Lonchura striata: one gene and its partner. The protein of the gene in region 1 interacts with the protein of each later gene in a pairwise test. Links are inferred from orthologs where the notes say so. Each region holds a gene or a part of one and is shown on either strand. Other genes may lie near its edges.

Region 1 (7,119 bases):
AATTGAGGCTTGGGTTGGAGCACACCCTGACAAAGCCAAATACCCATTCCAATTTCCTTCTGTTCATTCCTTTGTGCCACCCCAGCTTCTTTACCCCACTTGAATACCTTTACCTGTCCTGTCTCTTATCTCCTCTACATTCAGGACAAAAGGCTTGCCTCCTTGGTATTTCCAGAAAGTTAATTAAAGTCTACTGTCAATTAGCATGTTCACTCCCATCGTGACCAACAAGAAGTGGGAAGAGAAATAAGAGGTCATACTTTGCTGTGGACTGCATACAGGGTTAGATATACAGACCCTATAGTCTACACACTGGGAGAGTGAGAGGTATCCTAGTGAGAGGAGTGAGCAATCTCAACAAATTGGCTGCTGAATGTAAAAAAAGTGTCTAATGTACAGGTGAAAACTCTCATGCAAAAATTGGACCAACATAGGTGACTTTTCATGAGAACAGTGAAGTACTCAAAATACATACCCTGCTTCAAAGCATAAAGAGACAGGTATTTATCAGGAACAAACCTGTTAATGTACTTAATTATATGGAAAACCAGTGTTTTATTAAAAACCAAACTAAAAACCCCAAAACTTAGTTATATTCAAAATGTTAAAATATGTAAAATCAGAGGCAAGCCTTAAGCATGGAAAACTGGAGATCAAAGAACTGTATACCAGCAAATTGGATCATATGGTGGCTGGTGTCAAGTGACCTAGCTGTACTGTTTATAAAAACAAGTAAAAACAGTTATGCTTGAAACTGAGGAAATCTAAATTCTCCTTTGGATTCCAAAACTATCCATCTTTCTAAGTCAACCTCTAAACAAGTCCTTGACACAACCTCCACTCTTCGGATGTTTCCTTTGTTTCATCTACTATGGCCCAGACTCTCCCTCTCAAAGGCTGATGAACATATATTCCCAGTTTAGTCTTAAAATAGACTGTGTTCTGGAGTGTCTTCAGGGACCAGCACATCTGCTTGCATTACTTCTTCCTATAAGACACTGAGCTACCACTTTGCTTAAATTTATATTTTCTATGTGATTTCCTCCTTAATTATGACTCTGGGGTGGCTAACACATCTCTGGAGCACTGATCTGCAAAACATACAGGAGTGCTAGAAAGCTGACATAAAGGACAACACAGTAAAAAGGCTGCTGAAGCTGGTGAGCCAGAGGGATTTTCAGGCTGAGAAAGAACTAGAAAGGAAAGAATAATTTCTGGACTAGGTAGGCAAAACAGCAAAACAAGAGGCAATTAGAGCACATAAGAGAGAAGTGAGAACAGCCACTGAGGTCAGATTCTGGATTGCTATCATTTGGAATTAACAATAGAGGAGGGATTAATGGATTATTATCAATAAGTAAAGGACAAGAGAGAGACCTGTGGAAATTTGCATTTTGAGCAGTCAGGCAGATACTGACTTTTGTCATAAAAGAGAGGCAAGAAGGGGGTGGAGAGGTGTGTGTGTGTGTCTGTTAACAAGAGGCACCAGTGTAACAATAGTGATAAAATGGATCAAATTAGTGCCCTTACCAAGAGGAGATAAAAACTTTTCCAGTGGTGTACAGAGAGACAAGTTATCAGGTCTCCCACAGAGCTCAAAAGCAAGCCCAGCTACCAGCTACATACAGTCCACATATAGCAGGTACACTGAATAAAACTCCCACACTGCTGCCTCAGCCCCCTCAGTCTCTCCACTCCCCTGGTATATGAAATGCCTGGCTCTTTCAGAAAGGAACAGAATACGGCATGGCAGGGGTTCTCACCTCTTTTTTCCTTTTTTTTTTTTTTTTTTTTTTTTTGAGGGGGTGTAAGGAGTGAAGTCCCTAGGGATTTTGCTTTGATGAGGTATTCAGCAAAACTTTACAGTCTGGAGTTCATATTGAAACACACTCAAATATTTCACAGCGCAACCAATGTCCAAATGTTGCCACACTAGCTATAATTGCCATCTAACACAGTGGCCTCAGCAAAGAGGACTATAATCACAGAAAAAAATGTCTCTGGGGACTACACCCCGCCTCTTCCAGAGGCTGTTTTTATGTATAGTACAATTTTCACAACATTTTTGTTATACTGTGCAATATGATGCAGCTTTATGAAAAGATACTTACAGACAATGATGTATTTATCAAATCAACTGATTCCTAGTGACTTCGGTGCTTTGTATAAAACACCATCAAGTGAGACAAGTTGGAAGTAAGTACATGACAGTATGGATTTTCTTTGTAGTGTGCACCTTTTGTCCATTATCTGTAGCAAAAAATATGGCAGTCAAAACAATAGTAAGATTATCTGAGAAAAGACCAGAAAAAAATTTTTCAATTTATTATCTTCAGAAAAACAAACTGGGGTTGCATAAGATTCAGGTGTTGTGACCCATTGATTGCTATTCACTTCTATAGAGCAGATATTAATGATTAAGCATAATAAGCAGATATTGGATAAGAGCTGACTTGTGTAATTATCATTGAACCAATGAATTAGGAGGGCTAATTGCTGCATTGCTAAGGCTAATTGCTGAGGGATATTTAATGTCATATTCAAGGAATGTGTATTTTTGAATACACATAGCAACAAGGTGTAATTGCTTGGTCCTAACAGCTACAATTCATACAAGGGCCTGCTGAATTGAATGAGTGCTGGCTGCAGTTTCAACAGAGGAACAATTTGCTCAACAGTAAGCCACCATCTGTGAAATCCTAGGAAAGGCAAGTTCCCATGAATTCTTAAATGTACGAACAGAACTTAACAGTACATTTGAATATACTGAGAAAATGATCATACAAACTACAAAAGAAAATACATAGAAGAAGCAATCTCTGGAAAATAAATTATTGGAGACATCAAACAAACAGGGAAGCAAAGGATGCATTTTCCTTCTTTCTATTTTTTAAAAACTATCAAAAGATGTGGGAAGACATTAATCACCAGTATAATACCCATATGTAAGGGAAAAAATTAATGAACATAAAGCAGAGAATCACCGGAATTGGAAAACATGGCTTTCTATTTCTACTTTTCAAGGGAAACAGCTGCTTTAAAGGTAGAGATGTAGGTTTTCATGGAGTTGAAAAGGAGCTCCATGTTATTCTATGATCTTCTGTAAAGCATTTAATTTCTCATACTTCAGGGAAAGTGACAGCTGCCTGACTTTTGCCTACTGTCACCTTTGCTGACATTATTTTCCTCAGAGAAAATTCACAGATTTACATTAGTGCATTGCAATGTTACTTCTCTTGTCCAAATTCCTTCAAAACTTGCAACAGATCTTCACAGTAGGTCTGTTGGACCGATTATTTCAACTTTCAAGCAAAACAAAGTAGATCTACAGGTAGTCCAAAGCTATTATGGTGACTCAAATGCTTAGACCATTAAACAACAAGCTTGGGATGGAGTGGACATGAGCTTTCTCCCACCCCAGCCAGGCACTAGCCTGGGACAGCTGCTGATGATTAGCAGCATCTTCTCTGGGCCCAGAGGTGCTCTGCTTATGGAAGCAAGCTGCAGATCTGTAGCAACGCTACATACATAGCTACATGGATGAGGGAGCAGTGGGAGCTCTGCCTTCTCTGTCTGGGTCTGGACCACTGCTCCTCTGCCAAAGCAGCAGCCACCCCCTTTTCTTTTCGAAGGTGGTGACCACGGACAGACGGGCTGCATTAAACGACGACGTGCGATGCGTACGATGTGCGGCCAGCAAACGGGCACACGGCGCCTGCCGGAGAGGCAGCCGTGGGGCTGTTCCCGTCCCGCCCGGCAGCCCAGCAGCTTCTCCTGGGCAGGCAGGCCGGGGCAGAGCCGGAGCAGCCGGGGCTGTCCCGCGGCCCCCCCTCGCCCCGGGCGCCCTTTGCCGCCGGTGCAGAGCACAAGGCCCTTCCGCAGGCCTCGCCTCGCCGCGCCCGCTGCAGCCCCGCTGGCGGCGCGGCGGCCGCCCGGCCCGGCGGGGGCGCGGAGACAGCGCCGGGGGCGGCGGCTGGCGAGACCAGCGGTAGCCCGGGGCCCCGGAGCGCAAAGAGGGAGGTAACCCGGCGCCGACACGGCTGCCATTTCCCCTGGCCTTCGGCGCTGAGGGATTGAGGGCGGGGAGAGGAGGCGGAGGAGAAGGAGGAGGGAGGGGAGAGGGAGGTCGTCGAGTCGGAGCGCACTGAGGCTCGAAGCTGCCAACACTCACACATCGCCTGCCGCCGCAGCCGCGCTGCTCCCGGGCTCCGGAGAGAGGGAGCGAGTAGAGGCGAAGAAAAGCCAGACGCGGGAGAGGAGGCAGAAGACCGCTGGCAGAGGGAAGGAAGTCAGAGAGGAGGGAAACGGAGGGAGAGGGATAAGGACCCCTCCTCCCCGCGGAGAGACGACTTCCCATGTAGCTAGGGATAGAGGGAGAAGCTGGCGCTCAGGAACAGTGAGAGAAGCTCTCACAAGCAAGTTACTTAATCCGGGGAGAGCGGCGGGAAGAGGGCACAGCAGTAATCACTGATCAGAAGCACTATTCCCAACCCCTCATCATTTAAGCCCCGGGCGGTTCAATGCACTACTCCAAGCTCTTCCTAGTTTCTTCCTCGGGCTAACTTCGGAGGACGTACCGCCGGAGCGGCCCGGAGGGGAGGACAAGGGCCTCGGAAGAAGGAAGGAGTTTAGTGGGGGCTGCCTGCGGAGGAGAAGATGGGCTGGAAGCGCCGCTGTTGCTGGGGAGGCGGAGGCGGCGGGGACCTTCTGTGCCGGCTCACCCTGGTGCTGGGATTCCTGCTGCCCGCCTGCAGGACGCGCCTCTACACCAACCACTGGGCTGTGCGGATAACCGGGGGGCTCCCGGAGGCCAACAGGATAGCGAGCAAATACGGATACGTCAATATAGGACAGGTAACGCTGGTCACAACTCCTTCCCAGCGGGCAACCGGCGCTGCGGCCGCCCTGCGCCGCCGGGGCAGGGACGAGGGCGAGGGCGAGGGACGGGAGGCCCCGCGGCTGCTGCCCGGGCACGGCCCCGCCGCAGGCCCCGCCGCCGCCGCGGGGCGGTCCGCGGAGCCGCCCGGCTCCCCGCCGCGGGCCCCGTGAGGTGATGCGCGGGGACAGGTATGCCGGGGAGCTCGGGGTCGTGGCCTTCCCCTTCGAAGCCAGGTGTGAAACGGGGCGCGGGCCAGGGAGCCGCCTGCGGGGCGGGAGGGGGAGGGCATCGGCGGGGGGCGTCCCGCCGCGGCTCTGCGCTCCGCCTCGCTGCGGCTGAACTTTGCGCTCCGCGGCGGACAGCCTCTCGGCGAGTCGCCTCTCCGAGCTGAAAAGAGCCGGTACGAGACGAGCCGGCAGCCAGGACGTGGCAGCCGCGGCCGCCGGCTCGCCGCAGCGCGCTGAGTCCCGACCCCCGCGCTGGCGGGGCGTGCGGAAGGAGGCGGTGGCGGCGTGTCCCGGGGCGGCTGCCGCGCGTGCGGCTGCCCGCGGCGCTCCGTGGGGAAGGAGAGCACGCTGCTGGGGCCAGGGCACACCTGGACTTGGCTAGATCCAGACGTCACCACGTCAGAAAATTCTTGTATCCAGGCAGGTTAGGAAACTGAAAGTTAGCAAACACCTGGTTCTCACTGGAATGGAAAATGCCCCACTTCTACAATTAGGCACAGTTCTTTTTAAAATATCCTAACTTCACTTTTTCTTAAGGAGTTTATACTCGGTGTTCTAGGCTTTCCTCGCAGTTGTTCTCAAAATCCAAGTTGCATATGTAGGGTTTACAAGGTGAGTGCCTAAAAAATAAACTGTTTGCATGTTCTGTTGCATGCTTGGGTGCAAACATCCAAGTACATTCTTTCTGGACAGTAGTTTATTCTACATGAATCGAAAGGTTAGAAATGAACATTTACAGGTACAGAAGGCTTCCTTTTATACATGAGATTTACAAAACCGTATCTGTGTTTACACTCCAGGCGTTTCATATCAACCAAACCAAAATAAGACCTGATTATTATTTTGTTTTAAAATGGATTCCCACCTACTACATCATTGAATCAAAAGTTTAAAGTACATATCAATTGCAAGCCTGAAAAAGACAGCTGGTTGGTCAATTAAGAGAAATAATTTACATGAGAAAAACTGGAAAATGTCACTGGGGTATCACAAAACGTGATGTGTAAGGACGCAGTTACTTAGAGTATCAACTTCTCACGTAAGCAGACAGGCAGTACTACTTCCAGCTGGAGGCACTAAAATATGGGAGGAAGATTGCATGTCAAAAGTGAAGTACTACTTTGGAACTACAGTTTAGGAATCAAAATTTTTTGCATCGGTTTTCTTTTTAGTCTTGAATGTTTTTTGTTCAAGATGATTTATTCCTATCTGGGCCCTTATAGTGGCAAAATTTGCAACCATTGGTTGCAGGATGCGCCTGTCCCCATTTTTTCTTTTGTCAGGCTGGCTGGTTAGCTCAGAGCCTGCCTTTTTGTACTTTGCATATGTAAGCCATGTCTTGAATTAAGGAAAGAATGTTGTAAACCTCTGTTGTTTCTTATGTGAAAGTGTCTATATACAATTACAAAATACCAGTAATGGATAATACAGATTAGGTATACAGATTAGGTATACAAATGAGAATGAGAGAAAATAGAGACTATAAGTAACTGAAAATTGGAAAATGCTCTATTAGGTATATGGATGAAAAAAAGAGTAGACTGTGTTTCTAGGTAAAGATGGGTAAACGGAGTAAGGTACTAACTTTTGGAGAAAGGGAATCAGGAACAGTTTGGACAGATGAGGTGGACTTGTCCATAGCGAGCTTTCTTCATAGATCTGAAAAAGCAGGAAAATACTTGATGCAAAACAGGAAGTGCAAAAAGAAGATCAGAATGGGGCAATAATCTGCTGGTTATTATTGAGCAACAATTGCAAGTAATTAAAAAATTTATTTTGAGTGTGATGTTGAAAGATATTTTCTTAGCTGAATATGCTCTGAAAATAAGAGACACCAATAAGTAGAATTTTCTCATAGAGTTATAGAATAGGCATAATATTTTTGGTTACATTAAATTTATGAGCTCATCTATATAAAGAAAGTGAAAAAAGCTAAATCAAAATTCCACTGCAGCTGGTCCAAAGGACTAACTTACAAATTATCCAGAAAAATAACCTATTGAAAATATTAAA
Region 2 (7,898 bases), on another chromosome or scaffold:
CAGACATTTTAAAATAGGAAAATATCTAGTCTCTGAGGTAAAGCTGCATAAATTTATTTGCTGGAACCCACAGCAAGAAGGGTTAAAAAAGAAGGACCAGCCATGACTGATTCTCGCATAACTGAGTGACATACAGATAACATAACAAAGCAAAAGAAAATACAGATACTATGCCAGAAAAATATACTGTACTGAAAATCACTGGCAAGCTGGAGAGTTATTTCATCAGCTACTATTTCCAGGTCAGAGAGAGGAAAAAATTAATTCCCAGGATGCTTCAAGACAGCGGGATCCACTGCCTTTCTGACAAGATCTGTGGAGGTTCAGGATACACACTGTGAACAAGGGACAACTCCTACCATCTCCATCACCTCCTGGGCCCACGACACCAGCAGTCCTCCTTCCCACCCTCCTCCCAAATGCCATCTCAGTCAAGGGATGGGAAAAAAAAAACAAGCACAGTATTTGCAAAAGGACCCGTGCAAGTTCAGCTGGAAGATGGAGGAAAGAAAATGTGGCCACATCTCCTCCCTGCATTTTAAGATAGCGACCAGCACCTCCCTACACATGTTCCTTGGCACTGAAAAGTGACAGAAGTAAGAAATGCATCCCTGCAAGTGCCCTTCTGCTGCCACCACCAATGGATCTCTTGGCCACTGAAAAAACTTGTATTTCAGAGTCCCCAGGAGAGCTGGTATGAGCCTGAGACCCAAGAAATATAGCACCTGCTGAGGGCTCCAACTCACAAAGCCATGAGATTGTGCTGCAGACTGAGCTTTACTCTTCCCTTCTGAAGTTCACTTCCAGGCCTCATGGTTCTGGAGAGTGCAATTCAAGCAGAGCTGGAAGCCCAGGACAGTCCACACTGAACCACCCCAACTTCCTCTTTGCTTTCTCCTTTTCAAGCATCTCTGGCCAGAGGCCTGCTGCTTTCGAGGACCCTGGCTAAAACCCCAAGGGAAGCCCTGGAGCCCCAGTGGGACACAGGGAGAGCACACCGTGCCCTGCTCGACAAATACACTCCAGCTGCAGAGGGATTCCTCCTGCACCCGCCGCTCCTCTGACTCATTCCTCCTTCCGAGGCTGGAAAGCCTCACATCCACATCCCCCACAACCACTGACCCACCTAAGGCTCCATCTGCAGCCACGGTGGCACCGAGTCAGCACAGAGAGGGAGTCCCTCAACAACTGGAGCGGGCAAAACTCCAGCTTGGAAGAAGAATGTTTTTGTTGTTTGCTGATGTTGTTGAAATTAACTGCTGTAACTAAAAATCGTTGTTACCCTCACATCCTGGAGCCTCAGATGTCTGGCAGATGTAACAGCTCAAGTTCTGTGCAAGTCGGGAACACAAGAATCCTTGTAGGAATCTTTACAGAAATTCCACAACTGAGTTTGCCGAGGGGGATCAAAAAGGATTTTACTACATGCAAGTATCTGTAACCACCACAACTTCCACTATAACTTTCAAATATGTTGTTAAGAAAATTAACTGCAAATACTTCGCCCCAGAGAGAACTAGAACGGCGGGATCCTCTAAAAAATTAGTATTTCAGAATAGCATGAAGAGGAAGCCCTCTCAAGAACAGTGTTACAGCTGACCTTGTATGACTCAAGACTTCTGACACCACTTGTTAATGAAACAAAACAATAAAGAGTGGTCATAAGACCACTGCAGATGAGGAGTGAAAGAATAAAATGAAGAACAAAATCCATTTCACTAAGTCAGTGTGTCAGCAGTTTCTAGTTCCAATTCTCAAGCATTCACAGCTCAGCTGCCTGAGTTTTCTCCAAATCAACATTTGGCACAGCTGGCCTTGGCCTGGACACGGAGGTGCAGCAACCAAAATTCAGGGGAGAGGAAAAAATCCAGGATGGTAAGAAGAACAGGTGAAGAGGATCTGGCAAGCTCACAAACCGTTTCAGAGCTGGAAAGGGAGGGGTGCCAGCCTAGGCACATATTAAAACCCTGGGCACGCTGCAAACAGTGAAATGACTTCTCAACTTATTTTTGCTCGGTAACTTATTTTGGCGTGTGCCCCATCAGGTCCCTCCCTGCCTGCCCAGGCTGCACATGGGGCACTGCTGACCCCGCTCCGCTGCTACCAGGCCCCCTCCCACCTCCCGCCTCGTTATGTAAAAGAAAAATTCAAGGGAAATAAAAAAAAAAAAAATTGTACGCGGCACTCCGGCCGGCTGGTGGCCACGCACTCGCCTTGACCCCGCACAAACCCCCCCAGAGGGACTGCTGGAGCCGGGGAGCCCGCAGGAACGCGGCGGGGGCTCGGCCCTGCCAGGGACCGGCTCCCCCCGCGCCGCTAACCGGACACCGCCTCTGCGGCGGCCCGGCACGGCCCGGGGGCCGCAGCCCCGGCCCGGCGGGGAGGAGGCGGCCGAGCGCCCGGGCCGGGCAGGGCCGCGCCGCCTCCCGCCGGCGGCGCCGGGCCGGGCCGCGCCGCCGGCTCTGACGGATCGATCCCGGCGCTCCCCCATCGCCCGGCCGCCCCCGCGGCCCCGGGCCCGGCCGGCGGCGGCGGCGCGGCCCGGCCCCACGTGCCGGCGGGCGGCGGTGCCGGCGGGCCCGCGGCTCCGCAGCCCCAACATGGCGGACAGGAAGCGGCCCCAGCGCGGCGGAGAAGCTTCGAGCCGGGCCGGGGGAGGCGGCGGCGGAGGAGGAGGAGGAGAGGGGGCCCCCGCCGCCGCCCCGCGAAGGTCACGGGCCCCGTCCCGCTGCCCGCTCCAACCTGGTCTCCGCTTCGGCGCCTCCGTGTGCTGCGGGCCGCCGTGCTTGTGCTCGTGGCGGAGCGGCGGCTTAGGCTGGGCTCGGCCGTCGGGCGGCGGCAGGTAGGCGCTCTGCGGGTGGTGGTGGTGGTGCCCGTAGTAGTAATAGTGGTGGTGGTGATGGTGGTGGTGGGGCTGCTCCTCCATGGGGGGCGGCTGGCGGGGCCGGGCCGGGCTGGGCGCTCGCTGCTGGGCCGTGCGGCTCCGGCGCGGGGACGCGGCTGGCGCGGGGGAGGCGGCGGACTGGCAGCGCCCGCCCTGCAATCAGCGAGCGGCGCCGCCGCGCCCGCCCCCCGCCCCGCCCCGCCGCACCGCGGCCGGGGGAGAGCCGGCCCGGCCAGCGCGGGCCCGCCCGGCCGCCCCCTCCCCGGGCCGGCGGCAGGTGAGGCTGCCGGGGGCGGGCGCGCTTCGCCCCCTCCCCGTGCTAGCGCGGCGGAGCCAGAGTGAGCGGCCGCGGCGGGGTCGCCGCCGTCCCCGGTCCTCGCCGTTGGAGCGGAGGGGAGCGGCGTGCGGCCCCGGGGGGGTTTCACCGCAGGGTCACCGGCAGGACGGCGGCCCGGGATGCCGCCAAGCCGCGTTTTGCCGTCATGAAGCGGGTGAACCCCCCACCCGGGGCAGGCGGAGAGGGCTGGAACAGCCCCAGCGGAGGGGAGCTGGGCAGGGATGTGAACACCGTGAGCAGCCGGGCTCCCAGCAGCAGCCGCGGGAAGCGCGGAGCCCGGCAGCAGCAGCGCCCCGAATCGCTGCCGGGCCGAGCTGCAGCGCTCCCGCGGCAGCCGGAGCTCACCCGGCTCCAGGGCTCCACCCGCAGCCAAGCGGGCGGACCCGCCGCTCCCCGCACGGACCCACCACCGGCCGTGCCCAGCACCCGGCCAGCCCGAGAAAGGTGGGCTCAACAAATGCGCCTGTCCAGCTCCGAGGGAAGCACCGGAGATTTAACTGATGCTTAACAAAAATCAAAGGTTGATGGGGAAGCCCGAGAGTGTAAGGAGGAGAACTCTTGAAACTTGACAGAATTTGCAACAGATTTCATACCATTTCAATCTCTGATTATCCTCACTTGAGCATGTTCGGCAGGGGGTGATGACAGCTAAATGACCTGAACTCCCACCTCTGCTCCAGCCAGCCTCCACTGCAGGGAGAGCAAGACATTCAAATGCTGTTCCCGGATTCCTCCTCAACACCAAGGCCCAATTCTCCAGATACCACTGAGACAAAGGGGTTTGGGTTGTATGGATCAGTGAGGAACTGAGACAGGAGTTAATTAGGAATGTAGGAAAAGGGCAGAGGGAATGGAGAGACCCACAACTGACACGGGCTGGAGACAGAGGCGGAGTCCTGCTCCAAGTTATTTGCTACTCTGGTGTGATTAATGGCCCCCAAATAGTCCCAATAGTGTGCACTGCAGCAAACAGGGAGGAAAAGTGACAAAATAAAATGTGTTCATGTAATTAAAGACTGTCACAATTAATGTGTGTAATATAAATGGGCTCCACAAATAGTCCTGAAAATAGTATGGACTCGCTTCTCAAGTCTTTTCCTTGCAGCTTAATGCTCTGTTCTATTTTTTCACTATTCTAATGAGCAAAATTAATAAAGTTCATGTGTCTAGAAAAGCCCTGTCAGACTTTGGCACTGTACAAGAGCCCTCGTCTGGAGATTTTACAGTTCCCAAGCCTTATTTTAAGAGAACACAGTTGAAAGTTTATGCCTCAAACAGAACTTCCCACTTCACGCTCCTCTTTACTACATAGGAGGTAAAGCTTTTCCTTACCAGAAATACCAACTTCAACATTAATACAGAGGGTTTTTTCAAGATTTGAGGTGCCTGAAATATCACAAGCTCTCTGCCAAATCATTCCTGCAGTTTACATTTCTTTCAGCACAATGCAAAGCCATTTAAAACTGATGAAACTATTTAAGCAAGCAATGATGAACTTTGGGCTTTACTCAAACAATAACGGTCCTGGTCCTTTCAAACGCTGACTCATTCAGTGACCTCAGAGTGCTTAAGAGACAAGTCTTAAAATGAGGAGTCAGGCTTTAATCACAGATGACATTTTATTGGTGGCTTGGAAGAATTTATTTTTAATATAGGGAGCTGGCTTGAAGATTTAAACTTCAAAAGACTCTGAGGAAAGCAAACAATTATGGACAAATCATCTCCACACACACAGACCAGAAATCTGAATACAGAGGAAGGTGGGCTGTCTCTTTGTGAAAGACAAAGCTACTATGTCACTGCTTAGAAGTATCATGTTATCAGTATTATATTATCTAAAGCTTGCAGAAGAGAGAAAAATAATCCAAAATAATACAGCCTGGGGTTCATCACCTGGCACCCCAACATGGTGTGTCCACACACAGTGGGCCTGCCCCACTTCCACTGATTCCACAAGGATGCATTTTAAAGGTAAGAGCAGTTCCAGCAGGCAGTGTTGCCCTGTGGCCATGCTGGGACACATCCCCTCCAGAAGCAGTAGTTTCTGTTAATCCCAGTGTTTGCCCATTGTTGCACCAGTTGTAATGTGTATTAATATTCAACAGTTCTTCAGGATGTGTTCTCTGGAAAGGGAAGCTGGAGATTTCCGTGTCTGCTCATTTGCAGCAGTTTTCCTTCTTACTGCTCTTTGGCAAGCCAGCAAAGAGGCAATTTTCCTTGGAATTCCACACCCAGTGCCAAGTATTCCCACATCCAGGCACAAAGCTGGGCACAGCCAGTATAATTTCTAACTCAGTAATTTATTCAAAGCTCTGTTTTATGAAGCTTTGAAGTGGATGGCTTTGCAGAGAACCTGCCATTTAAAGCTGGAAAATTAAGGCAGCAAGGAATGAATCAACTGCTACAAGAATCATGAGAAAGTTTTCCTGCAGAGTCTGACCCGGGATAAATTTTGTGTTCATATTAAAATGCAGTTAAACTGAGAAGCTATTGAAGTTATTTTTTCAAGAACAATTTATTTCCTTTCAAAGGCAAACCTCTTTTAAAAACTACATTTAGTTCCCATTAATTATTTTCAGGTAAATTAGAACTGAAATTATAAAATTAATCCATGAAAAAAATAAAATGCTTGCTTTGTAGTATTTCATGTGTCTGTCTCCTGTTTAAAACTCAGAATTGGGAAACACCAAAATTACCATATTTATAGATATTGGGATGGGCTCTTACACAAAGTATGTGTGGCATTTATTTACATTTTTTGCCACAGTGTTTTCATTTATAGCAGGGGTTCAGACTTGCAAAATTCTCCATATTCCAACACATCCAACTTAAAGCACTCCAGCAGACCTTTAGTTCCAAGCAGGATTACAACCACACTGTTTAAAACCTTGCCACGTTTGGCTGCTGGCAAATAATGTGTTTCAGTACAAGGCAGTTGGGATTTACCAGTTGATATTCAAGTGTTGGAATCTCAGAATTAGTTCTCAGAAGCAGTTTAGTCAAGATGGATGACAGGGTAGGAGAGCTGCTCACAGCCTGACCACAGCTATTCTCACAGAGCTGCTGCAGTTACATTCAGGTAAGGAGGAGCTTCTCCTTGACTCCATTTTTGTACTCTGCTGTGTACATTATTTATAGGTACAAAGCTGGTCTCTTTAAAGACTTCTCTCTCTAGAGGCAGCTGGATAGTAGGCATTGGGTTAGAGGTCTTAAAAAGCAGCAAAACCCAAAAAATTATAAAAGGATTTAACCTCCTAGCTGAATTGTAAAAATTGTAAAAAATTCACATTTTACTCATCCTTCCCTTCCTTAGCAATTTAAGCATTTCCACCTCAGCACATGCTGAATTATGATTTTTTTCCTAAAAGCTTAGTTTCCAAATGTCATAAGCACACTATGCTAATCCTTCATTCACTCTCCAGAAAATTAAGGCAATCCAGCACCAAAAATAACCATAGGGTATAGTTTTGTGAGGCAGCAAAACTGACGTAATGGCTGCTCCCAAAAGGGAAGGTCATCTCTCCCTGCCCTGCCCTCACAGCAACGCTGCTGCTTCTCAGAGCCCATTTGAGAAATTAAACTAAAAAGTAATTCTTCAGATGGAAAAGTGCACATTTTTATTCTGGTTAAGCTTCCTAAACTGTTTCACAGAGGAGCCAGACAAATTTTAACACCCTGAAGAATGGGCTGTCACTACAGCAGCTCAGGAGTTGCCTTCCACAGCCAGCCTGGCTGCAGGGATGACCTTCTGGGAATTGGGCAGCGGGGACACAGCTGGGGTTGCAGCCACTTAAGCCATCTAATTTTATTTTGCTCGTATTTGTGAGTCAATCCCCTTGAGTGGCCAAAGAAGGATGGCGTGACCATCCTTCAAAGTGTTTTGAGCAAGCTGTAACAGAATGGCTGTAACCAGTGGGACTTCTGGTGGGTTCATCCATTGTTTAACAAGACTCAATCCAAGGATCATCCCTGTTGTAAAAACACTGAAGTGTTCACACAGGCATGAGTAACATCTGCTGCCCATATCTGCATGCAAAATTGTTTACTAGAGTGCAACAGTATAAACTGGAGACAGCTTCTTGGACACATACAAGAAGCAGAATGGGAAGCAGGCTAGCAGGCTGGCCTCAGCCACAACTCTTATCATTACTTCTCTGGGATTTCAGAGAATCCTGGCTCTCAGACAATTCTGGATCTCCTCCTGCTTCCTAGGATCATCACAGGGACCACAGAGAAATCCAGACAAATACCTACCAAGGTGCTCTTGCACAAACTCCCCTGCTGTTAGAACCTGAGGCACAGGCAGTCCAGCCTGACTTACACAGGGAATTGTATCGGTCACTGCTTGCAGTGGACTTTGACCTCTGGAAGACAAATGAAAAAAAGCTCAATCCACAAATCCCAAGCACTTTTTATCTTGTTATACAACACAACAGTCACAAGGCTGCTAGTCACATTTCATTCTCATTCCATTTGGACACCAAACAGTTATTTTGAAACAGGAAATTAAAAAAAAATAGTTTTTAAATGTGGGTTGGCTATGTCTGCATTTGGTATATGGGGACTCCTCTGCTTGTGTTTGCACCCAGGATCTCCAATTTAACAATGCTCAGCACTGACAGAACACCAGATCTGGAGCAGTTATTGTTTGAGTTATTACTGTGACTGCTGCTTCAT

Evidence for each region. The genes of interacting proteins can lie anywhere in the genome.
Region 2: the proteins of PCSK5 (region 1) and NUFIP2 interact in binary tests that used the Homo sapiens proteins (3 or more experiments, as listed by UniProt). The two-hybrid records come from large-scale screens. The link is inferred for Lonchura striata from reciprocal best matches to the Homo sapiens genes PCSK5 and NUFIP2.

The regions. Positions count from the first base shown.
Region 1 is NC_134642.1:69,633,212-69,640,330, reverse strand, and holds the start of PCSK5 (proprotein convertase subtilisin/kexin type 5), read left to right. Parts: upstream 1-4,119; 5' UTR 4,120-4,656; coding exon 4,657-4,854; intron 4,855-7,119. UniProt on the Homo sapiens protein: Serine endoprotease that processes various proproteins by cleavage at paired basic amino acids, recognizing the RXXX[KR]R consensus motif. Likely functions in the constitutive and regulated secretory pathways.
Region 2 is NC_134622.1:7,666,216-7,674,113, forward strand, and holds the start of NUFIP2 (FMR1-interacting protein NUFIP2), read right to left. Parts: upstream 3,004-7,898; 5' UTR 2,927-3,003; coding exon 2,743-2,926; intron 1-2,742. UniProt on the Homo sapiens protein: Binds RNA.